Linked DNA regions of Lytechinus pictus. The protein of the gene in region 1 purifies or fractionates together with the protein of each later gene. This does not show direct contact. Links are inferred from orthologs where the notes say so. Each region holds a gene or a part of one and is shown on either strand. Other genes may lie near its edges.

Evidence for each region. The genes of interacting proteins can lie anywhere in the genome.
Region 2: the proteins of histone deacetylase 1 (region 1) and lysine-specific demethylase 5A-like purify together in Drosophila melanogaster (affinity purification with western blotting; 3 studies listed by BioGRID, with this or other methods). This does not show direct contact. The link is inferred for Lytechinus pictus from reciprocal best matches to the Drosophila melanogaster genes HDAC1 and Kdm5.

The regions. Positions count from the first base shown.
Region 1 is NC_087261.1:582,908-590,892, reverse strand, and holds the start of histone deacetylase 1, read right to left. Parts: upstream 3,048-7,985; 5' UTR 3,004-3,047; coding exon 2,929-3,003; intron 1-2,928. UniProt on the Drosophila melanogaster protein: Catalyzes the deacetylation of lysine residues on the N-terminal part of the core histones (H2A, H2B, H3 and H4).
Region 2 is NC_087247.1:31,238,706-31,246,228, forward strand, and holds the start of lysine-specific demethylase 5A-like, read left to right. Parts: upstream 1-4,454; 5' UTR 4,455-4,615; coding exon 4,616-4,762; intron 4,763-7,523. UniProt on the Drosophila melanogaster protein: Histone demethylase that specifically demethylates 'Lys-4' of histone H3, thereby playing a central role in histone code. Does not demethylate histone H3 'Lys-9', H3 'Lys-27', H3 'Lys-36', H3 'Lys-79' or H4 'Lys-20'.

The DNA.
Region 1 (7,985 bases):
CTTATTGGATTCTTGGACATGTTGGACCTCTGGCTGTCCTTGTAACTTGTCTTTATTTATTACTTGACCCTTTAAACCATGGGTTAAACACCAAAATCATATACCCCAGGCTGATATTAAACAAACTATGTCAGTTTTTTGGTAAGAACGGCCATTATAGACTCCATTTTCGGAAGCCATTATGGATTTTTGGACATACTGGAACCACTATTACTGTCCTTGTAACTTGTCCCAATGTAATACTTGACCCTTTAAACCATGGGTTATACTAAAAAAATCATATTCAGAGTATCAGCAGCCATTTTAGACTCCTTCATTGGAAGCCATCTTGGATTTTTAGACATACAGGACCATTGACTGCCCTTGTAACTTATCCTAATGTACTACTTGACCATTTAAATCAAGGGTTAGACAACATAATCATATACCCAGGCGGTTATTAAACAAACTGTGTCGGTTTGAAATTAACAACAGACATTTTATACTCCATTTTTGCAAACCATCTTGGATTTTGGACATGGAGGGCCATAGACTGTCTTTGTTACTTGTCCCAACATATTTCTTGACCCATTAAACCAAGGGTTAGACACCAACATCATAATCCTCAAGGCAGATATTACACAAACTACTGTATATCGGGTTTTAAGATAACAACATCTATTTTAGACTCCAATTTCGAAAGCCATCTTGGATTTTTGGACATAAGGGACCCTTGACTGCCCTTGTAACTTGTCCCAGTTTACTTCCTGACCCTTGAAATCACCAATGAATAAAACCCAAATAAAAGACACTAAAATAGGTAATAGATGAATTGTGAATTGTTAGGCCATGGCAGCCATTTTTACGCAATCTTGGATTTTCAGGTACCTGGGAGTGCTTATGTTCATTCTTTCTTTTTACCCCCTACACCATTGAATACATGTACATGTATGCACCGAAAAAGATGTCTAGTATAGATAAAGTGTCGGTTATTTAAATTTTCAGTTAATGGCGGCCATCTTAGACGCCATCTTGAAAACATCCATTTTCCCCGTCTCTGGATATTGGTAAATTTTTAATACGTTATTCCTGCGAGCAGATAGTACCAACAAGTGGAATGCCTCTGGCCGTCTCACCTGCATCACGCGATTCAATATAGCAGCAGTGCTGATTTTGAAAACTACTATAACTCGCACAAGATGTTCAGTGATACTTGGTTACTCTTATTTCCACGTTTTATGAACTAGACCCATACACTTATAGAGATATGATGGTAATTCAACAAATACCCCCAACGTGGCCAAAGTTCATTGACCTTACATGACCTCTGACCTTGATCATGTGACCTGAAACTCGCACAGGATGTTCAGTGATACTTGATTACTCTTATGTCCAAGTTTCAAGAGAAAGATCCATCAACTTTCCAAGTTATGATGGTAATTCAACAGATACCCCCATTATGGCCAAAGTTCATTGACCTTTGACCTTGGTCATGTGACCTAAAATGCGCAAAGGATGTTCAGTGATACTTCATTACTCTTATGTCCAAGTTTTATGAACTAGACCAACACACTTTCAAAGTTATGGCGGTAATTCAACAAATACCCCAATTTGACCAAAGTTCATTGACCCTAAATGACCTTTGACCTTGATCATGTGACCTGAAACTTGCACAGGATGTTCAGTAATACTTGATTACTATTATGTCCAAGTTTCATGAATCAGATCCATAAACTTTAAAGTTATGATGGTAAATCTACAGATACCCCCAATTCGGCCAAAGTTCATTGACCCTAAATGACCATTGACCTTGGTCATGTGACGTGAAACTCATGCAGGATGTTCAGTGATACTTGATTAACCTTATGTATAAGTTTCATGAACTAGGTCCATATATTTTCTAAGTTATGATGACATTTCAAAAACTTAACCTTAGGTTAAGATTTTGATGTTGATTCCCCCAACATGGTCTAAGTTCATTGACCCTAAATGACCATTGACCATGGTCATGTGACATGAAACTCAGGCAGGATGTTCAGTAATACTTGATTAACCTTATGGCCAAGTTTCATGAACTAGGTCCATATACTTTCTAAGTTATGCTGTCATTTCAAAAACTTAACCTCAGGTTAAGATTTGGTGTTGACGCCGCCGCCGTCGGAAAAGCGGCGCCTATAGTCTCACTCTGCTATGCAGGTCAGACAAAAACCAATTACAAGCATTTTTGTTACAAGTTTTGGGGTTCAGAATAGAGCAAAAAAAGGGTGTAGAATGGCGGCCATATTGTTTTTGCCAATTTGAGGATTTTAACATCAAAATCAAGGTTGGCAAACAGCAAATTTGGACTCAGCGCCCTCAAATTATGCTAAAACACTTCTCAATTCAGCATTAACACGATTTGCCTAAGGCAGTCTACTTTTCTCAAATCTGGACCCGACTATAAATAAGAGGACAAAAGAATTTGCCTCTTCAGCTCATCTCTCTGGAATGCTGTTCCACTGAGGATCCTTTCAGCAGATTCACTTTAAACATTTGAAAAATATCTAAAATCATATATGTTTTCATCTTATTTTTGTTGAATATTGGAACCTCATTTGATCTGTTCATGCACCCATACATACAGCAAGCAAACATTATTTTATATGTAAATCCTTAGCCCCCCCCCCCCCATTCCATCTGCTTCCCAGGATAGTTTACTAGATAGATGAAGCATAATAAATCTTGCATTTATTATATTAAGCTACAGGCTTAAGAATAGTTGAAGGAATGTCAGCATCAACAAGAGCAAAATATAGAAATTGGTGAGCATGCATATCTTCTGATCATTTTTCTTTTGATTGCAAACCAACAAGTCTCAAGTGATCTTTGAATAGCAAAGCTTTGTGCAGTTGTTGGTAACTCTTCAGCTGAAAGAGCACCCTCTAATGTTTAAAGATTTAAAATACTTACATAGATTTCCATCTTTCTGTAGAGTCCATAGTTGAGTATGAGATTATGTGTCATACGTATTCTATGCGGTTTCATGGGATGTCCTTGTCCATAGTAATAATTCCCAACATCACCTGCAATAATAAAACACAAATTAATACTCATTTATTTCATTGAATAAATAAAACAAGCATAGTGATTGTGGACAGGCGCTGTACCATCATCGTAAAAAATATCATCAATAGTAAAGGTTAACAACATCAGGACCCCATTTCACAAAATGTTGCAAGTGTTGCTGAAATGTCAAGTAGTATGACAACAGTGACAATCCTGCTTTCTGATTGGCTCTTCCAACAAATGTTAATATTCAAGAAACAGTTGCTATTTTAGCAACTTTTTTATGATATGGGCCCCTGAATGAATAGGCAAATCTTGATTCTTTTAATTTCTTTTGAATCTACTTTACTGCAACAAGTTTAAACAGCACGATCTCAAGACCTAAGCCAAAGCTTCACACTTAACTTTTTTCTTGGGTGGCCGCTCAGTCCACCAAAATCATCAATATCATATTTTCGGTGGCCCACAAAACAAATTTGGTGGCCCTAAAACAATAGAAAACATTACAATTTATCAAAACTTTGGTAGCCAAACCGGGCAACAAAGTGTGGGCTTGTAAAGAATTTTGGTGGCCCAACTCTCATTTCTGGTTGCCCCGGGCAATCAGGCCACTGCTAATGTCGGGCCCTGCCTAAGCTACCTAATTATCAACCTGCATCATTAAAGGTCAAGTCCACCCCAGAAAATTGTTGATTAGAATCGATAGAGAAAAATAAAACAAACATAACGCTGCAAATTTCATCGAAATCGGGTGTAAAATAAGAAAGTTATGACATTGTAAAGTTTCGCTTATTTTTCACAAAAAAGTTAAATGCACAACTCAGCGATATGCAAATGAGAGAGTCCATGATGTCCATCACTCACTATTTCTTTTGTTTGAATAATACAATATTTGAATTTTTACAGATTTGACAATAAGGACCAACTTAACTTAACCATAAACTGTTAGAATAATGGTAATTCCACATGTTCAGGGAGAAATAAAACTTTGTTTCACTTGACAAGTAGGAGAAAATTAGAATATTTCATATTGAATAATACAATATTTGAATTTTTACAGATTTGACAATAAGGACCAACTTAACTTAACCATAAACTGTTAGAATAATGGTAATTCCACATGTTCAGGGAGAAATAAAACTTTGTTTCACTTGACAAGTAGGAGAAAATTAGAATATTTCATATTGAATAATACAATATTTCAATTTTTACAGATTTGACAATAAGGACCAACTTAACTTAACCATAAACTGTTAGAATAATGGTAATTCCACATGTTCAGGGAGGAATAAAACTTTGTTTCACTTGACAAGTAGGAGAAAATTAGAATATTTCATATTTCATATAATAAAATACAAAAGAAATAGTGAGTGGGTGACGTCATCAGTCTGCCAATTTGCATAACGACCAGGATGTGCATATAATTCTGTTTTTTAAATTAAGCGAAACTTTAAAATGTCATAACTCAGTTTACATCCGATTTTGATGAAATTTTCAGTGTTTTGCTAGTTGGATTTTTCTCCTTTTTGAAAATCAACTTTTTGTTGGGGTGGACTTGTCCTTTAACATCCAGGCTGAAGAGAGGAGGATAGTGGGGTTCAGTAACTTGAAGACAGGTACTTGATAAAACTAAACAGTCTGTGACATAGTATAGTACATTTGTACAGTTGATGTGATCTACCTTGATGATTTATAGCACACATGTGGAATAAATATACTTCCTATGCATTGATGCATCAATTTGAATCAAACAGCAGCATGCTTTTATATGTAACTGATCGAGGACCTGTTTAAAGGGGAAGTTCACCCACCCTGATGAAAAGTTTGTTGTAAAAATAGCAGAAAAATAATGACAAATACTGCTGAAGGTTTGAGGAAAATCCATTAAAGATTAAGAAAGTTATCAGAATTTAAAGTTTTGGATTTGTGACATCATAAACGAGCAGCTGCCCCATATGTTATATATGATATAAAATGCATAAATTTCAATTTTTTAATGGTTTTTGATGACTTATTTTTGTTTTCTTTTAAGACACGGGTGTGAAATGATTTATGTATTGATATACTGAAGGTAGGGGAGACCGGGGTTAGTTGGAACGCGGGGTAAGTTGAAACATTGTAATTTTCTTTCACGTCTTTAAATAAATTTCTGCAATACTGCCCCCTATTTATTGTCATTATCAACAGCCATCCACCATATTACAGACAACACATGTGCAACAAGCCTGGTGAAGTTAGAAAGGAATTTTTGTTTTCTGACCTTCTGAGTAATTTTTTTCTCTTTCAGAAATGTTTGATTATCTCAGAGAAGTTTATAGATCAAGTTGGCCAGTTTGGGGGTATAATAGACACTTATACCAAGCTACAAAATTATGTTATTAATATGCCATGGTCAAGTTCCTTTTTTGTGCTGTAAGCTTATAAACGTCAAATGGGCCTCCGGGGTTAGTTGGAACAAAATTGAAGGGGCTAGTTGGAACATGTTCCAACTTATCCCAAACATAATTATGAATAAAAAAATTGGATATGAGAAAAAATATATAAAGTATTTCACGCTCTTCTGAACATGTATTGTATACCATGCTTGTTTTGTTTATCAGTTAGGTCTGAGTGTGCATTTAAGGCCTATGGTAGGCCCCTAATGCAATATTAACCCTTATCAAACTGGGGGTCAATTTGAGCCCCCCCCCCCCCCTCGAGAAATTTCGCCACTACGCCGTCGCGCGAATTTTTTTTTACTACACTGCTCGCTGACTTTTTTCTTTCAAGTCTTGCGCATCATTTGAGACCAAATTTGCGATGCCTGTGTGCGCGGTTTCGAATTTACGCAACAATTTGTACGTGCATGGTCAAACCCCAAATTGTTCAAAAACGTGATTCCATGTACAAGGTCAATGCAAATTATGTTTTTCAACCCAAAAGTCATAAATGTATAATTATTTTTTACTTTTGTTGGTTCAAATAGATTTATTTTATGCTATTTATGATCGCAAAAGAGTCCCGAAAAAGTTCATCGGAATAAAGTTCGAAAATACAAATAAAAAAAACAAAAAATACATAAGAAATTATATTTTTTGCCATTTTTGGTGGATATTTGTTATAAATGTGAAAATTGATACTCTCACCAAAAATTAGCATTCTACTAGCTTAATAAATAGAGTTAAAGGCAAAAACATACCAAAAAAAGCAAATTTAGGGCAAATTTCATATGCTTATTTGTAGTTATTTGCATAATTAATTAATGAAAAACTATAAACAATTAATTTTTGTCTTATAAAGTTGATGCAGAAGTACATGAAATTACTGATAGTACACCTAATTGCATGTAAAATCAAACACACCCAAATATGCGGAATTCTACTACACAGTCTGCTTGCATGAGTGGCTGTATAATAGAAAACATAAAGTTCAATGAATCCACACTTTGATATTTTGAACTTGAATAAAATAAAGCAAATAGGCTAAAACCATGTAATATTACAGTTTTAAGTAGTTTTAGTATAATTCTTAATTGACCATGCAGTGTTCCAACTTACCCCATACCATGTTCCAACTTACCCCGTATTGGGGTAAGTTGGAACGTTTGCGATGGTCTTGTTCAAGGTGGATTTTTTTCAGTATCCATATAGAGTTAAAAATTTTATGGGGTACATTTGAAGCCTGTAGATATATGCTTCAAGCTGATATATTGATTGTTTCTCGAATAAAATCTTTTTTGGATTTTACAGCCATTTTTGTCAAAAATGTTCCAACTAACCCCGGTCTCCCCTACAGTAAAAACCATTTTCAATTTTCTAAAATGACATTTCATTGATATTTTACCATACGATATGTAGGAAAGCTGCTAGCTTATGATGTCACAAATCAAATATATAAAATTCCAATAACCTTTTTTATTCTTAGATGGATTTTGCTCCAACCTTCGACAATATTTTTCATTATTTTTTCTGCTATTAATTACAATTAACTTTTTGTCAGGGTGAACTTTCCCATTAAATTGTACATTGAATCGATTTAAAGGAAAACTTTGCCTTAGTTTAAATTTTTCCAATTCACGATTCCTTGAATACTTAAAAACAACTCCTGAAACTTTCACCATGAAGTTCAATTCATAAATGGACATTTAAATGCATACATGTATCATACAAAGATTAACACTGCATGGTTTCAAATGTCCCACCAAACAATCAGCCAATCAACACACAACTGCTTTCTGTGCAGGATAGGGTGCAACCATCAGGAAAATCATTCTTTGCCATTTCTAAAAAAAAAAGTTTAAGTAATCACTTAGTAAAACCTTGCTCTAAACATTGATTGAGTTTATTTAGTCTTGTATTTCTGCTGATTGCCACATTTTCATGTCCAATCATTATTATGGCAAGTTTAAATTTGAATAGGAAGAAATATTTAAGAGAAAACACATGTCTTGCAATGTCTAATCATGAAAATTCAAGTATTGTATTGGCTGAACTCTGTCTGTTTGGAAGATATTTATAAATTTCACACTTAAAAAAAAAAAAAATTTGGTTTCTCTTCCTACACAGATCCAGATGGACCTATCTTGCACAGTGTAAGGAACCTAGGACCCATACATGGGGTCAATCCCCCGAATCAAAGGATTTAATTATTAATGATTCTCCTTTAGTTACAAAAATACTGATTACTTTGCAAACTAAAAACTTCATTAGGGGAGACCGGGGTTAGTTGGAAAATTTTTGACAAAAATGGCTGTAAAATCCAAATAGATTTTATTAGAGAAACAATCAATATATCAGCTTGAAGCATATATCTAAGGGCTTCAAATGTACCCATACAATTTTTAAAGTGATCATTTCACTTTGTTCTGATTTAAAAATTCTCATTTTGGTTCTTGAAAATGGGCTTAACATTAGGCTTATAGTGTAAAAATACCATCCCAAAAGTTTCAAAGTATTATATCCACAGGATCAATTTTAAAACCT
Region 2 (7,523 bases), on another chromosome or scaffold:
AAAGCAAACAAAATAATGAAAGTTAAATTTCCGAGCTGAAATACGTTTTGTATTTGGACTTCAAAATTTGATATTTTAAGCTCCATATTGAGCAAGATATGTAAATCACCTAAAGGGTTATGCGAGCGCGAAGCGCGAGCGAAAATTTTATATCCCGACATGAAAGATTTTTAAAATTATTTTCCAAGTCTTCCCCCATCTTATTTTATTCACTCGTCTTCCTCCTCTTATGTTTCTTCTTCTTTTTTTCTCCTCTCTTTTCCCTTCTTTTTTTTTCTTTTTTTTTCTCCGCCAATAGGGGGGGGGGGCGGGCCCCTCGGGCCCCCCTGGATCCGCCTATGGTGCTGCACTCGACCCAGGTTAGGTGAATGGGTACCCGGTAGGATCTATACCTTGAAAGCTTTAGCGCCTATACGGCGCGCGCGGCTCAGCTACAGCCGGGGTAATGATGATACCAAGTATCCCGACAAGTATCAAGCAATTATAGTAGCTGCGCTATACAAATGGAACATAAATAATAATTATTTTTATTACTATTATTATTATGGTCCTGGGAAGCAGGGGTGCTATGGGGGTGAAGCACCACCCCCCCCCCCCCTAAAATTTTCCTTGGGAGTGCTGCGCCGTGTGTTACCATATAAATGACAAAAATGTAATGAAAAGTGAACGAGATTTATTAGGAAAACCTTTTTTTTCTGTGGACCAAAACCACTTTTATTCTGGATTGAACCCCCCTGTTTTTTTTTATTGCTTGTTAAATATTTCTCGGGACCGAAAGCACCTCAATTTTAAGTAAAAACTTCTTCTTTTTTTTTTGGTTGTCAAATTCACATCAGCACTCCCTCTCTAAAAATCGCTCCCAGAGCCCTGGTCAACTCATCCTCTCCGAGTGAACAGGGGTATTTTCAGTAGTATGATTATAATTGCCTTAAAGCTTAAATAAAAAGTGTCATTCAAGATGAACAGGGTCTAGGTCCCTTCGTCAATATCATAGACGCCTTTAGGCCGATCCAGGGGGGTGAGGAACCCCCCCCCCCCCCCATTTGCGGAGCAAAAACGAAAGAAAAAGGGGAAAGAAAGAAAAGAATGGAAAGAGGGGAGAACAAACAAAAGAAGAGGAAAAAAGAGGCGGAAGACGAGTGAATAAAATAAGGTGAGGGGAAGACTTGGAAAAAAAATCTTTCATACGGTCATTAAAAAAAAATTCGCTCGCGCTCGCATTGCATGTTCGGTGACTCACTGAACATGTAATACATAATCATATCTTGCTCAATAGGCTGATATGGAGCTTTAAATATCAAGTATCGAAGTCAATATACAAAATATATTTTAGTTCGGACGTCGAGCTTTCATTATTTTGTTTGATTTACAAATTGATTTTCAAAAAGTGTTCAGTTGTAAAATGTCCGTTTTATTGTCTGAGTATCAACATTTTCAGCTCGCGCTGCGCGCTCGCATTATTTGATTTGCAAAATACCTATTCTCTTAGTGTGTTCCATAAAGTGATCTAAATTATATCCCTTTCCGGTTTGATTGTCAAAACCAATATAGCTAGCACTGCGCGCTCGCATTTTGATTGGTGAGTAATGTATACCTCTATTGATATTATATAACAAACTTTATGATCCCATTTTCCTGACGTTTTATCAAAAATTTTGACTAGCGATTTGCACTCGCATTAATAAATTGTTGATAATATATGAACCCATGCATATCCTATTCATAACCGGGATTCATAATTACCAAATTGCTTTCTCCAGTTTTCATTGAATTTTTTCGGCCCCCCCCCCCCCATCATGGCGAAAGCTGGATATCCGCCCCTGAAATATCTCAGGTATTTATAGGACAGATTCTGGATCATAATTATCTGTGTAATAAAGTTACGCGGCCCAGGCCCCTCATTTTCATAATTTTCTTGATACTTTTCCCTTTCTCCCTTTTAATTCTTGTTTTGAATTCTTGACGCAGTCCCTCGGGCTTGACATCATAGGAGGTGGTTCCCTCCCCCTCCCCAGGGGCGGATCCAGCCTTCGCCAATAGGGGGGGGGGGCTGAATTTTTTTCAGCCATATTTCCCCCGATCGGCCGCTCGAAGATGATTTTTGGTTTCTTTGAAGGGGTAATCCTAATAGTCACTTCTTAGCTTTATTCTTATAAATCAACATAAATATATAATATCATAATCCTTATTTATATAATGCGAGCGCGAAGCGCGAGCTAAATTTTTTGGAAATCTTATGCATTTTTTTCCTAAAATATGAACATTCTGGGCAATTTTTGTTATCCTGAAAAAGATGTGTATGCAACTAAATAATTACTACGAACGCGAAGCGCGAGCAGAAATGAACTGATGGAAAAAGTACTTGTTAAAGACTGTATGCAGTTAGCCATGAAGACGTTATATTTTAGAAATCAAATAATGCGAGCGCGAGCTGAAAATTTTTGACATTTTTACCTAAAGAATGGAAATTCTGAGCACTTTTTGTAACTTAAACAGAATAGGTATATAACTAAACATTGATGCGAGCGGAAAATTTTCGAGATTTAGACCCACTGAACGAGACACTCTATTCATGTTTTGTAAATCATGAAAAGGATGAGTAATTGGGGATCTTCCTTACACTAATAATGCTAGCGCAAAGCGTGAGCAGAACATTTTTATACGCGTTTTGAACTGATCGAAAAAGTACCTATTAAGGACTACTTGCATGCACTTAGCCATGAAGACGTTTACATATTTCAACAATCAAATAATGCGAGCGCAAAGCGCGAGCTGAAAATTTTCACATTTCTGCATTAGAATGGAAAATTTTAATCAATTTGTGTAATCGTGAACAGGATAGCTATATAACTAAACATTGATGCGAGCGCGAAGCGCGAGCGGAAAAAAAATCGAGATTTAGACCCCAAAACGGGACACGCTATTCATGTTTTGTAAATCATGAAAAGAATGAGTCATAGGGGATCTCCCTACATTAATAATGCGAACACAAAGCACGAGCAGAATTTTTTTGATATTGTGATCTGAAACTGGATAATGATTTAAATAGAGAACAAGTTGAGTATCTGAATAAACATGTGCGCGCGTGTTTCATATTTTGACATAGAATCTAGGCATTCTATATACATATTTTATCATGAAAATAAAAGCGAGCGCGAGAAGCGCGAGCTTAAACTATTTGATATTCCGATCTGAAAAAAGAGTCAATTTCAGCTCTCTATTTCAAGCACTTTGTAGGAAAATTGTGAGGCGGATATCGATCGCACTTGATAAAGAGCTGATATTTTTCATTATAATTACTTTGAGTTTTGACATAGGACATAGGACACCGGATAGGACATCCTTAGGACATGTCATCATAATTATGAAAATGATGACTGTCTTCCTATTCTTCTTGCTAAGCGCGAGATGAAACAAAAGGGACATTTCAATTATTAAATTGATATCTTATTCATTAATGCCTAATGAGGGCGCGAAATCTGATGATATTATGGCCTGAAACTGGATATTTCAAGCACTTTTGTAATTATAAATAGGTTGCATCAGTTAATATGTCTTTAACCATTAACGCGAACGCAAATTGCGAGCCTAAGTTTTTTAAACACTGTCATGAAAAGGGAATTTTAAGAAGTTTGTTATGTAATCAATATTGAGACATACATAACTCGACCATCAAAATGCGAGCATGCAGCGCTAGCTGATACGTTGTGACAATCAAACCTGAAAAGGGATATTTTGACAACTTAATGGAATACACGAAAATAATAAGTACCTGATAAATCAAAATTTGCTAGCGCGCAGCGCGAGCAGAAAATGTTAATATTCAGACCATAAAACTGACATTTTTACAAAGCAATTTTTAAAAATCATTTAGTAAATCTCACAAAATAATGAAAGTTCGATTTTTAGAGATGAAATATGTTTTGTATATTGACTTCCAAACTTGATATTTAAACTCCATATTGAACAAGATAACCTTTATTGAACAAAATCACATAACAGGCAATGCGAGCGCGAAGCACGAGCAAATTTTATTTTTATAGTGACATCATAAGATTCTTTTCATTTTCCAAGTCTTCCCCTCATCTTATTTTATTCACTCGTCTTCCTCCATTCCTTTTTTCTCCTCTCTTTTCCCTCCTTTTTTTGTTGTTTGTTTATTTCTTTCCTTTTTTTTTTGCTCCGTCAATAGGGGGCGGGGGGGGCGGGCCCCTCGGGCCCCCCTGGATCCGCATATGCGTCCCCCTCTAATGAAAGGAAAAGATCACGGGTCTAGTCAGGTTGTCATCTTTTAGAAGAATAGATCAGTTTACAAAACCTTTTATTAAACCATGCAAACTGCTTTTAGATTATTAGACATTTTAATTTTAACTTGAAAGTAAAGGGGCATTGAACTCCGTCCGACTCCATCCATACGCTGCTGTACACATGCGCAATGGTGACGTGCAGCTCGCATATCGATAGCTTATCGTGCGATTACGATATCTACGTACGGTAATGTTTTCGACTTCGGAGAGGAACATTTTTATCACAAATATGTGACTGAAAACACATCTCTTTAAGGAGTAATCTGTGGTGTGACTAAATAATAAAGGATTTTATTGGAATCATAATCATGGATGACGGTCAGGCTTTCGTTCCACCACCGGAAGCTCCCGTTTTTGAACCATCAGAGGAAGATTTCTCGGACCCCCTCGCTTACATTGCCAAGATACGGCCCATTGCAGAGAAAACTGGCATTTGTAAAATTAGACCTCCTCCGGTAAGACAACCGAAATGTGTTTTAATACAATTCAGTTTTAACATATTTTTCTCTTGTCATTCATTGAATGTTTGCTCTCAAATGTTAGGTAATATTCCTTTCTACGGTAATCTTGTCCCCAATTCCCACATAAATATATTAGATTTTGTACTTTCACTTAAAATGAAGGAGTTGTTTATCTCGCTTTTGACTTTGCTCCCATAGTTGATCGTGTGTCTGCCTATGCAGCGTAGAGGTTGCGCTAATGTCACTGCGTGCAAACGCTCCCTCGGCTTTTGTTCGAACTCGACGAATGTGATGCAACGATGCTAATTCAGAAAAAACTTCCTTCAAATAATTCGTTTTCGTAGCGTATATATTGAAGAAATCAGGAAGTTTTTACCATCAGTTGATAGGCAAATGGTGTGCTGACAATTTCAATATCATTTTTTGGACTGCCCATCTCAATTTTATCTGACATTTTCATCCCCATGAAGCAGTCAGAAAACTGTTAATTCAGACATTTTGCTGGAGTGGGTTGAATAATCTGGTGAACTGCAAGTTGAGAATGCCAAATGACCATATTCTGTTTCACATAAATTGAAATATTCTGATACACAAACAGTATTTTCAAGCAAAATTGACCAGAATTCCAATTACCTGCATTTTCTTGTACAAAATTCTTCAGAAATCCCTTTTGCATTTTATTTTCAACAATCCAAATATTGACAAATTGTGAACAATTTGCTTTGACAAAATGGCCACCCTGCTGCTCACTGGCACAGCACAGCTGTGTCATGAGTGACATGGGAATGGGATTTTTGTGCACATTTAAACCCCGTTGTTACCTTTTTTATGTCCAGATAGGTTTTGAATCTGGACGAACAGAAAAAATATTACATAGGTCTAGATGTAGATGGGGATTTCAAGAATAATTTCATAATAAGGGTCTAGACTCAAGCTAGGCCTTGAGTTGAGATCTACATACATATGCATGTACACTGTAGTAGAAAATTCATATTGAAAATTTCACACTAGTTATCACAGATGTACCGTATGGGTACTAGTATTCAACCCGGCATAATTCAAAGATTTTGACATATTCCCCAAAATATTTAGAAATAGGGAATTTATCTTAATTTCATACCTTTGTTATTTCCAGGATAATCTGTTGTCGATATTTTCTTTGTCAATCTGTCGACTGTAGGCGCGGAGGATCGAATTATGCGGCGATGGCCTTTTGCACTGAATGGTACTAGTATTCAACCTAGTGAGGATTGATAGCAAATCTCAAAAGGGTTTAGATTGCTAAATTAGATCTAGATCTATGTAAGTCTCTGGCTTTGATTAATTCCCTGTTTGGTCTCATCTCAAATGGTCTAGTCCATAGTCGGATGGGACAAGGGCAGATTGAGAGACAGGGCCATCTTTCATCGCTAGGTTGAAAACTAGTGCCGACGGGTTGAATACTAGTACCAAAATCCCTCGCCGTATAATTCGATCGCCCGCGCACACAGTCAACTGGTTGAAGAAAAAAATAACAGAAAAAGAATAACCAGCATTTGCTCTTGGAAATAAGACGGGTCTGAAATTCAGGTAAATTCTATATTTCTATATATTTGAGGAAACTCTCCAAACGGGTTGAATACTAGTGCCCTTACGGTATGTCATGAATCTAACAAGAAACTACATGTACTTTCAAATTTAAATATTGTCATATTCATCTTGAGCATAAAGAAACCTATTCATTCCTCATCAAACTGTAGACACAGTTTGAGGAATATCTGAAATACTGTAAGAAATCAAGTGAAACATAATTGCCAAATCTAGGGGTCTGCTGATCTGGTTAAAAAGTTTACTGAAAAGGCTTTCGAGAAACATGTAGGCTTACACAATCTTTTCACATGGACATGGATCATTAGACATGCAGTGATCATGACTTCAGACCTGACATGTTGCCATTGTGTTTATTATCTTGTGACATGAAGAAAATCTCTTTTTTTTTCCAAAGAAACCACAGCAGATATGGACTTTTCTGTCCATAGCCTTTTCTTACAATACGTGTATGGTATGATTAACATGCAGGTTTAATCAAAATTCTTGAAATTAATGGTTATGCGGACATTGGCACCATTTGGTAAATTCTTTTTACAGTACTTACTTATGCCTATGGTAAGGTCCCCCAAGTCTGCGCATACATGTACAGTACCAGTCATCAATCTCCGAGTACATGCGGCGAGCCATTTCCGGCCGTTGCAGCATACATGATTACATGTACCATGTACGTGTATCTGCGCAATTCGAATACAAGGAGACATGCAACGACCACAAACTTTATTGCAATACATGAACAGATAATCATTAAAAAATCCTACTTAAAACGGTGAAAAAATATTGAATTTCAGACATTTCATGTGATGGCCACAAAATGCAGCCTTGGCTGGATTTACAAAAATGTATAAATCGCTTTATGCAATGCAGGCTTGTTACGATCATCTGCGTTTGCGGAGCGGGGATGGCTGCACCCTTTCAAGAAAACCAGGGGAGCTTTTCTCGAAAGGGTGGGTTGAGGGAGGGGAGTAAAATAAACGCACCTTTTCGCAACAACCGGGTCGAGCTTTTCACGAAAGGCTGTGTTTAATAGTTTTCTGAACCAGTCGTTTCTCTGAAAATTATTCATCAAATAATAACAACAATATACTATTTATAGACTATTAGTATAGGCCCACAGATGGGGGGAGGGGCTTGAGGCACTTCCTCAAGCCCCCCCCCAAACAAAAAA